Linked DNA regions of Caenorhabditis elegans. The protein of the gene in region 3 purifies or fractionates together with the protein of the main gene of each other region. This does not show direct contact. Each region holds a gene or a part of one and is shown on either strand. Other genes may lie near its edges. The genes, in order: hrg-11.4, F54D11.4 and ctnb-1.

Region 1 (3,756 bases), on a different chromosome or scaffold from region 3:
AATGAGATAAGATTTCAAGAGTCTTTTTTTGATTTTTTTTTCACAATTTGGGTCATCTTGTTTTAATTGTGTGCTCACTTGTTCAAATCTGCAGAGAGCTGAACCGTATACGCTCCAGTTCCGTGAACATTCTTTCCGTTGCAGATAAGGTGAATTGTTTGAGTGACGTCCGTGGTGATATCTTTGCATGTGGACACTTCGCCTCCAATCGGATTATAAACTGTTGCCCGCGGATTGAGGGCGTCGAGTGTATTGATAATTACAAAGAACTCTTCGATAAAATTGTCGACGTAAAAAGTGAAAGTGTCGGAGCAAGTCGCACTGAAGATATGTGTATGTATTATGAAACATGTTATTAATCTGGTATTGGTTCTCGAATAACGTAATGAAAATCCAGATAGAGTTTTAGATTATTATTAAATCGCAAATAGAAACCGGAAAAATGAAAAATGGCAATTTTACTATCAACAACAAGTTTCACGTTTTTGACAATTTTCGAGTATTTTTTTTCGAGTACTTTAAAACACGCCTATGGTACCAAAATAACCGAATATCATGATTAAAAAATTCAAAAAAAATTTCTAAATTTTATATGATTTTTTGAAAATTGAAAAAAATCTCAGTTTTTGCCTAATTCCGATTTGAATTTCCGCCTATTGAAGTTGTTCGATGGAGCGCACTTGCACGTTTTAATTTTAATTTATTGTTATTTTGAAAGAAAATGCATGCATTTAAACGATTTCGAACTTGAATTTACAGATTTCACAGACTCACGCTTGTGAATTAGCTTTTTAATCAAAAATTAGCATTTATTTTGACTTTTTCGTCAAATTTCAGACAAAACTACATTGAAAACATGGAAAATTGGTGAAAAATATGACAAAATAACAATAAATTAAAATTAAAACGTGCAAGTGCGCTCCATCGAACAAATCCAATTGGCGTAAACTCAAATCGGAATTAGGCAAAAACTGAGATTTTTTCAATTTTCAAATTTTAAAATTAGAAAAAATTTTTGCATTTTTTTATCATGATATTCGGTCATTTTGGTACCATAGGCGTGTTTTAAAGAAATTTCCCCACTGGCGCCACTCCACCTTTAACTAGAATTAACATTTTCCAGATTCTATTCCTAAATTTTAATGAAAACACTGAGTGAAAATGTCCCACAGGCTCAATTTTTAGAACTGCTGGTTAGCAATCTCCGAGCACTCCACGATTTTCTACAATATTCCCTACTAAAAATGTATACCTGAAATCACTCTCCACTAAATCACCAAATTTTGCAGTACCGTCATGAGGCAGTATATCAATTGACTTATTGTAGCATGTCACTGGAGAGGTTTGATCCAACAGTTTCGGTCTTGAAGAGAAGGTAGGTTGAACCCGTTGAGAAGGTTCCGATAGATTTAGTGCAACAAGTTGTTTGAGTTTCGAATTCACTGAAATTTAATCCCTCTGGCTAAAACTGGTCAAAAAACGTTTTCTGTAAAGATTTGAAGAGGTTCTATTAAATGTGTTGGCTTGGCCTAGCCAGAAAGAGAATCCACTGGCGTTTCCACCAAATTCACTCTTGAAAAAATTGTTCTTAGTTGGTTATTTAATTCATCAAATAAAAATTCCCGCTAGAAGCACAAAAGTGAGCTCAATACCTTTCGTGTAGTTGTGACTCGGACCAGAACTTATGATGTAAACATTTTTAAGTAAGCCTGCTGTGTTTTTTCAATATGTCAAACTTTTGCCAATATTTTCAATTTTACGTGTTTTTTACTTAAACTTACAGCTTTTCGTTAGTTCGCCGTGTTGACTTTTATTGGGAATACTTACTCCACTACAGACCCGCAGTAGTAGAATACTTGTAATTACAAATTTGAGCATTTTACTGAAAAATCGTCTTTATTTAGAAGATATTTCTTAATGTAATAATTAAATAAAACTAAATAAAATTGTTATCAGGTTTTTTTTGTTTGAAAAAGTTAGTTTATCCAATTGAGGCTCTTAAATTAGTTGTCACTGATAATGCGATTATACTCTTCCATTGGCAAGTTGTTCTCATCTAGAATTCGAATAGAGCAGAGGTTGATGTGTTGTGAAAATTCAGTTTAAAATGTTTACATTTCAGGAACTTCTGGAAAAGACAGTGGGAAACAGAAATAAAAATGGTTAAGCGTTCCACTTTGCTTCCAGCTGTTGTTTTTACAGTCGAGAACTTGCAGGTTTTTTGTTACTTACAAGTTTTTTTATTAATCAAACAATTTTTCATGTGATTTATTCAAGTGAGTTATGTTTTAACAGTTGTATTACACTGGCAACGTTCTATAAAGCTTTATAAATTTTTTAAACCACCAATGAAACTTTGTTTTCACTTTAAAAAATGTTTATTTATGCTATTTATAGGATTATTGCAAAGTTTCCGCAAAAGTATAAATAAAACTGCTTTAAAAAGATTTTGAGGCAATTGTTAAGACGTTTTAGGCTGAACAAAAATTCTGAAATATTTAAAAAAAAAAATTTATTAAATTGTTTTGCCTATTTTTAGACTTTATTAAAAGCATTACAAAATTGCAAACTTCCTCATTTGTAATAGTTGCAAACGTTACAAAAGCAGTGAAAACGTGCTCGGAGAATATCAAATCGACTTCTTTATATTCCATTGTTATTTTTTGATGAAAACCCGCTTTAAGTTCTTATAAATTCAATTTGAAAGTCTGAAAGTGAGTTAAATTACTTTCCTAGTGAGTATAACTGGACTGCATGTTGAAGTGGACGACCTCTTCCAAGGCAAACCTACAACGTGTACGTCCTTGCAAGATTTGACTGACAATCCAAGTTTATGGAAAACTTCTTTTCTTTTCAGTTCTGCAATATTTCGAAAATTCGAATAAATTATCCAGCTTTGAAATAATAATTGTTTTTTTTAGTCGAAACTTAGATTGCACCTGACAAGTTGTTAGCGGAAGGAAGTAACTTCAGTGCCAGATTTTAGAACGAGTTTTCACCAACCAAGTTTTTTGTCGCTCTAGATAGTGTTCTGAATATTTTTTTACAAAAAATTTGAAAAGGAAAACTCAACTCGTACCCCTGACATTTTTCTCAGACATTTTTTTTGGTGCACGCGTGAAATGGCTCAAAACTTTATTGTTAAAATAGGGAGCTTTTTTCTCCAAAAATAGCTTTTTAAAAGTTATAATTTCTTGAAAAGTCTGAAAATTTTCTCCTACAATCATGTCTGTTTTTATTTTTGTGTGCCAATTTTTTAAATAAAAAATTGACCATTTTTTGTAAAATTTTTTTTCTGAAAAAAAAAACTTTATTTCTCAAAACATTCAAATAAAAAGAAATAAACGTGGTTGTATGTCAAAATTCTGAATAAAAGTTTTTGGCATATAAAGGGCTGAAGCACAACTGAAAAGCAGAGAAAAGTTTAAATTTGACAAAAAAAATTGAGAAAACGGTGGGCAAGATTGATATTGGAAGTGGTAGACATAAAATTAAGATGAATAATATTGGAAAGTAGTGTGACGGTAAGAAGGGAAACATTGAAAAACCATTAAAACTATGTGATCTGTGGAACATTGAAAGAGACAAAGAAAGCGATGGGAAATTGTTGATTGAAAGAAAGAAGGAAATTAAAGCCGGCTTAATTTCCCATCAAGGTTAAACAAGACAAGAAGCGACTAGAAGTTTTGCAGAACGAAAGATGCGTCGAGATATACAGCTAGCGATTAGGTGTAGCTTACAGACAAAAATCACAGC
Region 2 (3,756 bases), on a different chromosome or scaffold from region 3:
GCGATCATTCAAATTTTTTTCTAAGATGAAAATTTTCCAAAATTTAGCAAATTTTTTTTCTGCAAAAAGCTCTTAAAGTCATCTAAAATCTGAAAAATCTGCAAATTTACAAGAATCTAAATTTTAATTTTCGTTTTTTCAATAGATTCAACTATTTTTGAAAAAAAACCTTAAATTTTGGTAATTTTTACTCTTTCTAGAAGAAATATCTGTTTTTTTTCATCAACATAAATAATAATCTGATTAAAAATTGAATTTTGCCGGTAATGAGCTGAAATAATTCAAAATTCGGAATATCTTACATTAAAATTATGAATTTTCAGCTTTTTTTTCTAAAATTAAAATTTTCAAGACTTTTAAGCCATTTTTGAGCATTTTCTGTGATGTTTGAACAGGGATTAATGTTATTTTGAAATAAATTTTTCCATATTTATCACTAATTTTTAATGAAAAATGCTGATTTATTTAACATGGTTTCCCGTCTAAAATTGCGCTGAAATCCCGAATATCTTACATTAAAATTGTGAGCATTCTTTGACTCAATATAAATCGCATCCTTATCATAAATGACACCTCCTAATCCAGAAAACGGAGCATACACTTTCCGCTCTTTCTCATTCAACGCTCGTTTCTTAATCTCATCAGGCAGCGGACACGGATCGGGTAGACTCGTGACATTACTGATCCTCATATCACCAACACCTGGCACATGAATCGACGAATGATTCTTCAAATGAGCACCATGAACCCATCCATACATGGCAATGTGTCGATCGATGAGTGGATCCGTTCGAAGAGTTTCGACGTTGGTAATGTCTTCGAAACGATCACAAAGAACGTATGGATGAGCATCTTTCCACACCATCGGACGGAATTTCATGACAGAAATGAATCTGCAGAGGTTATGGATCTCATTATATTTATACTGTCCATGCATCATTCCAGTCATGTAGAAAAGCTTCGCGCCCTGGTAGAGCTCCGTCCAGAAACGATGTTTCAGAATTTTCTTGGTCTTATTGACACGTGAGATTCCATCGAGAAGATCCAAATGATTCAATACTCCCATAATACGTGGCATTCCGTGCACTTGGCAAATATTTAGAAATTCAAAGGTTTCCATTTCAAATCCATACGATGCATCGACCATTAGAAGCACCAAATCTGCGACTTTCGCGATATCAATCATATGATTAATATCGTTTTTGACCTCAATGAACTGTACACGACGTTTCTTTCCAGTTACAATTGTCACTGGACCATTGATCTCTCCGAATCCATCACGGAGGTAATACTTGACAAGACCCCGGAGAAGTGTCGTTTTTCCGACTTTACTCGGTCCAACGATTGCTACAATGATTGGTGGTGTTTCGATGGGTTTTCTGTCCATCATCAGAACATGTTTCTTCTTTTCATTGAGATCTGCAGCTCGTCGAATCGCTTTTCCAGCGGATACGGCGGAGTGGAAAGTGAAAGCTTTCAGATTGTTTCCCTTGACTCTCGGCTCCTTCTCATTTCGCTTTTTTGCTTTTCCTCCAGTTTTGTGGACTGTAAACGTGAAAAATAGTTAGTAAAAAGCTTGTAATTGACTTACCATTGTGCCCTTTGTTCTTTTGCCCCTCGAACGGAGCTGGCGGCGGCATTTTTGTTACCTAAAATAGTGAAATTAATTATTTATTTGATTAAAAATATTTAAATTTTATTTAATTGAGCAAAAAATCTAACACTTTACGGAAAAATCTTGAGGAAAACGGAAGAAATTATATTTCGTATTAAAAAATAAAATAAATTGGTTGCTGACGCGCACGGCGTGCGCGTCAGTGTCACGAAACGCGCCAGCATTTTTTCCGCGAATTTTTTCGTTTTTCTCCTTTTTTTCTCGTTTTCTATCGATTTTTCATATTTTCAATTGAAATTTATTCGAGAAAATTAATAAAAATGCCCTTTTTAAACACAAAAAATCTAAAAAACACGCTATTTTCCCATTTTCAGACTTTTGTAATGGACTTATTGGATATGGAGCTCGACCTCGGCGTCGAGCCCACTTCTAGCCGCATCACGCGTAGATCACAAGCCGCCACTTCAGTTACATCACAAACACCAAAAACTTTGGGAAGAAAAAAACAAACGACCACGCCAGCGAAAATCGAAAGTTCTACTGCTTCTGCTGCTAAAAATCCAGTAAAAGAGGAAGAAATTGTTCATTCAAAGCCGGAGAGGTCTCTAATAATTCAAATTCTTATATTTTTCCAACATTTTAGTTTCAGAACGCCGAAAAGATCACCAAGATCCCCATCTACCGAGAAACGTGAGAAGCGTAACAAGGCCAAGAAGAGATTCTCACCATCGCCAGTCACCAAGAAGCGCAAATCAATTCTCACTCCTCGTCCAGCAGTTTCCAACGACGCTACTTCAATTCCCGCCAGAAAGATCAAAATCGCCTCCCAAGCAGAGTTCACCGAGAGTCTTAATCAGTTCAAAGTGGCGCTAGAGGGCCGTGGGATCACTGATTTCGATATTCCAGAAGACTGGAAGACCCCGACGCCTTCCGACACTGTTAATCAGATCATTACCGAGCGTAAGAAGAACCTTTTGTGTCACGGCCTCCTGGAGTGTTCATAATTATTCGAGCGCGCTCGCGCGGCACCTCATGATCTACAGAATTCGCGGGAATTCGTTCCGCGGGGACAGCAGTTGTTGCTATTTTTGGCTTCTATAGGAAATATTTTTGATTTTTTGTTTTATAATATTCTTGAGAAGCATCTTCCGAATTGAAAATGTGTAAAATTATGAAATTTGGCCGAAAACTGGAAGTTTTACAGAAGGAAGCCACTACAGTTTTTAAAAAAATGTATCAGGATCGCCAGTTTTGCGATTTATGCGTCGTAAAATATGTCATTTTGTAGAGAATTAAAAGTTTCATAAGAATTTTCGTTTGAAATTTTAAAATTGTTTTCATTAAAAACTTAAAATTGAAGGAATAAGATTTTAACCTAAAATTGTTGATTTTTTGAATATTTTTTTATTAGAAATTAAAGAATTAAAATTTCAAACGAAAGTTCTTATGAAACTTTTTAATTCTCTACAAAATGACATATTTTACGACGCATAAATCGTAAAACTGGCAATCCTGATACATTTTTTTAAAAACTGTAGTGGCTTCCTTCTGTAAAACTTTCAGTTTTCGGCCAAATTTCAGAATTTTACACATTTTCAATTCGGATGATGCTTCTCAAGAATATTATAAAACAAAAAATCAAAAATATTTTCTATAGAAGCCAAAAATAGCAAAAAACTGATGTCCACGCGGAACGAGTTCCCGCAAATTCTGGAGTTCGTGAGGTGTGCAGCGCGAGCGCGCTCTAATAATTATGAACACTCCAGGAGGCCGTGTGTGAGTGTATGTGCCTAATCATGTACCTTTTCAGTCTCCGGAACCCTCCCTAACATCAGTGATTCTTCTTCGGCAGCAGCTCCTCCTGTAATGGTTTAATTACTTTTTTAAAACACACATATTTGTTTCCTCTAAAATATCGAAAAACCAATACCACACCATGTCATTGCCCCCATTCCCCCCTCCCCGTTCGCTAATAAATGATAGTTCAAAGGTCTCACCACGAAGTCTATTTTAATAATGTTTGAATTTTGAAAAAATTGATCTTAATTTCAAAGTAATTATTTTTTTCAACAAAGACTTCTGATTTCGCGGCGAGGCCTAGGCAATTAAATAATTAATTTAATTTTTAAAAAAAATTAATT
Region 3 (3,756 bases):
AAAGACAACGAGAAGTCGAATTTCCATCCAAGTGACTCGAGCTTTCTGGATTCGGCGAACAGAAATGCAGCTGCTCTCGGGATGATTCCTTCCTCTTCACCATTTCCTCCTCGCATCGTGTGAGTTTTGCCACTTCCGGTTTGTCCATAGGCAATCAATCCGACGTTGTACCCATGCAGTGACGACTGAAATTATCAATTTTCAATTATTAATATTATATTTTGAAACTAACCCGAATGAACTCCTCGACGTTCGCGAACACTTCCTTCTGCGAGAAGACTGGCGTGAAAACCTTCTCGAATTTGACCACAATTCCAGGCTTCGAGCCTTCATTGATTCTGATGGTATCGATAGCCGGATACTCAATTGCAGAACTCGAGGCGTCGGCTTCAGATTTGATCAACGGCCGAACGCGAACAGCCACACGAATTTGACCGCGTAAATCGACAACATCGTTGTGCAACTTTCTCAACTCAGCTTCCTTTTCGTTGAGCAGATCCCGGAGATCGTTGTTGTGCACACGATAATCCTCGCACTCCTCCACTTTCGCCTTGTTGACTTCTTTCAGCGTGCTCAATTGATCTTGCAGTGAAATCAGCTTGCGATCCGCTCCTTCAAGTTTGCCATCCAGGATTTGGATCTTGCTCTTCTGATGTTCAGCAAAGTCGGTAGCCTCAGCCATCGCACTCTCGAGCTGCGCAATTTTCTCTTCAAGAAGCGCCATCTTAGAAGGGAGAATAGGCTTCTGTGCCACTGGTCGGGCTCTTGTCACCGACGGCTTCAGGGAAGAAGTCGCAGTTGAGCGTTGAGTGGATGGTGGCGGTGGACGACCTGTGCGAAGTTGTCGAAACGTAGAAGCTGCCGTCAGTGTGGAAATACGGCTCGCGGTGGATTGCATCGTTGGTATGGGACGGGAACACGACGCTGGTTTGGCCATCGCTGATCGTTCTGGCAACGATGCTCTACCAGTTGCAGGCGTTGTGGGGGTAGGCAAACGAGACGGAGGACGACGAGCAGCGGCTGAAAACTCGTAATTAAAGTAGTTGTTAACAAAAAAGGTTTTAAACAAAAACAAAAACATGTTTTATTTAGAAGTGTGAACACTTTGAAATCACGAGGAAGTTATTTAAAAACACAAATGACAAATTTACCTCCAATCGTTATTCCTCCAGGAGCCGACTGTCTTGGGATTGTTGTTGAATTGGCTTCTTTGGTGGATGGCGCGGCAGCACGTCCTCTTGTGATCTTCGGCGTTGCTCCGATAGTCGACCGAAACAGGCCACTTCTTCTTCGAGCGACATTCATCGCGAAATTTGGGACAAAAATGAGGAAATCAGCCCCTTCATTGACATTTTCCCGCTCAAAGTTGAACTCCGCCTCTGAAAATTCCCGCCAAATCGAATGGATTACCGTAGTCAACTACGGTATTAGATCAAAAATTTATATCATGTTGAGCTCATCCAGAATTGTCGGATATAATTATTTTGTTGTCAAAAGGCATAAAGAATGCCGTAAAAATTATTTATAACTATAACACAGAAGGCTTATCCATAATTGCACTGATATCAGGTTATACAAACAAATATATAAAATGCAGGTCTAGAAATTATAATGTGAGCGACACTCCGATATTCCGGTGCGCGCCTTGTTTACCGTATATCTACACCAAAGTAATTGCAAAAAAAAAATTTGAAAATATTTGCTTGCGAAAATTTTTATACACTTTCTTCAATATTTTGATTTTTCTGTGGTTTTTTAAAAATATAGGTTGGTAAATGATTGTTTCCAGATGACTTCTATCGATGTAACAGAGATTATCAAATCATCGACATCTTCTTTGTATCAGGTAAATTGATATTAAATTTTTTTGATTATAAATAGTTTACAGCCAGCAAGAAAGAAATCTCGTTTTGACGATAGTGCTTCTTCTTCATCTCAAGCTGGCCAGCCAAAACCAGAAGATATTCTTGCGGCTTTGGAAGCCGATCAATCAAATTATGTGGCTCTCGACGATGTGCAAGTTAAGAAACTTGTTATTCAACTTGACAAAAAGATGCGATTAAATCGAGAACAAAGAGTTAAAAATCCAGATGATGCTCAGAAATTCATGGAATCGGAAATTGAATTAGACAAGGCAATTCAAGAAATGCATAGTCTGGCTTCTCAACCAGACCTTTATGGATCGTTTGTTGAAGTCAACGGAGTTGAAATTCTTCTTCAATTATTAGGACACGAGAATACTGATATTGTGTGTGCAACACTTAGTCTCTTGAGAGAACTTACAGACGATGATGTGATGAACGAAGGAGAAGATGGAGCAGCTGAACTTATTGAAAGTCTTGTGTCTGGATCGATTATCACAACTTTGTTAGCATGCGTAGAGAGGCTCGATGAAAGCGTCAAAGATGAAGCGGATGGCGTCCATAATGCACTCGGAGTTGTGGACAATGTAAGAAAAATCGATATTTGAAAAACAAAACAATATATTTTCAGATGATTGGTTTCCGCGATGACATTACTGAAGAATGCGTAAAGCACGGATTCACGGTTTGGCTTCTGAAAAGATGCTTTCAGAAAGGTGCATTTGATGCGAATAAGATGTACGCTTCGGAACTTCTTTCAGTCATATTGCAGACTTCTGATACTGCAAAGGCAAAGCTGACAGAGAAAATTGATGGCATCGATATTTTATTGAGAGTGAGTAGCCAAACAAAGTATCAAGAATAAATTGAACTTTTAAGACCATTGCTGTGTACAAAAAGAACGATCCAGCAAATGTAGACGAACGAGAATACATGGAAAATCTATTCAACTCACTTTGTGCCGCACTTATGCATCCGGCTAATCGAAGTACGAATTTTTTTGAATATAAACACCAAAAAAATTGCTCTTGTTCAAAATAAATGTTTTCAGAAAAGTTCCTCGACGGAGAAGGTCTTCAATTGATGAATTTGATGCTCCGAGAGAAGAAACAAGCAAGACAAAGTGCTCTGAAAGTTCTGAACCATGCAACATCAGGAGACGAGGGAATCGAAAATTGCAATAAACTTGTCGAAATGCTCGGATTGAGAACAATTTTCCCGTTATTCATGAGAACACCTTCAAAGACAAAAAGAAAGGATACGACACCTGATGAACATGAAGAACACGTTTGTACGGTAAGATTTATGTTGTGATATTATTTTGAATGTTTTAGCTTCAAAATTGGACTGGTAAATCGGACTTTCGGTTTTTCTCCTTTTTTGAACAAAAATTGAGTTTTCAAATCTGCCTTGCACTTTTTGATACTTATCGAACATATAATTAAATTAAAAATCGAAAAATCTATTTCTACGAATTACATTTTACAAAAAGTGACTAATTTATATTGTAGGAAATGTTCTTTTGATGATAAATAATAATTTTTTAGATTCTCTCTTCACTGCTGGCAGCATGTTCGGAGAACCACCGTCAACGAATTGTTCAAAAATTTGTTGAGCACGAACATGAGAAAGTGGACAGAGCTGTGGAGCTATTTTTGAAGTACAAGTGAGTTGAAGCACATTCCGTTATGAAAAATAATTTTATTTCAATTTCAGAGAAAAAGTTCAACGATTTGAATTGAAAAAGAAGCGTCAATCACAAGAAGCTGGAACATCAGAAGATGATGATCCAGATCGAGCATATTTGGATAAACTAGACAATGGTCTCTACACGCTTCAACGTCTTACTCTTATACTCGGTGAAGTGGCAGTTGGTGTTGAATCGGCTCGTCTC

What was found.
Region 1: the proteins of ctnb-1 (region 3) and hrg-11.4 fractionate together in Caenorhabditis elegans (co-fractionation; one large-scale study listed by BioGRID). This does not show direct contact.
Region 2: the proteins of ctnb-1 (region 3) and F54D11.4 fractionate together in Caenorhabditis elegans (co-fractionation; one large-scale study listed by BioGRID). This does not show direct contact.

What each region holds. Positions count from the first base shown.
Region 1 is NC_003284.9:423,748-427,503, forward strand, and holds the start of hrg-11.4 (VWFA domain-containing protein), read right to left. Parts: upstream 1,889-3,756; 5' UTR 1,879-1,888; coding exon 1,782-1,878; intron 1,443-1,781; coding exon 1,253-1,442; intron 322-1,252; coding exon 79-321; intron 1-78.
Region 2 is NC_003283.11:4,614,169-4,617,924, forward strand, and holds F54D11.4 (DEK_C domain-containing protein), read left to right. Parts: upstream 1-1,982; 5' UTR 1,983-1,998; coding exon 1,999-2,216; intron 2,217-2,264; coding exon 2,265-2,575; intron 2,576-3,425; coding exon 3,426-3,490; 3' UTR 3,491-3,609; downstream 3,610-3,756. Other genes in the region: Y61A9LA.10 (Bms1-type G domain-containing protein), read right to left, coding at 515-1,545, 1,592-1,640.
Region 3 is NC_003279.8:5,577,877-5,581,632, forward strand, and holds the start of ctnb-1 (Beta-catenin-like protein 1 N-terminal domain-containing protein), read left to right. Parts: upstream 1-1,789; coding exon 1,790-1,846; intron 1,847-1,888; coding exon 1,889-2,449; intron 2,450-2,493; coding exon 2,494-2,697; intron 2,698-2,741; coding exon 2,742-2,850; intron 2,851-2,913; coding exon 2,914-3,158; intron 3,159-3,409; coding exon 3,410-3,528; intron 3,529-3,578; coding exon 3,579-3,756. Other genes in the region: klp-15 (Kinesin motor domain-containing protein), read right to left, coding at 1-185, 233-1,020, 1,152-1,305.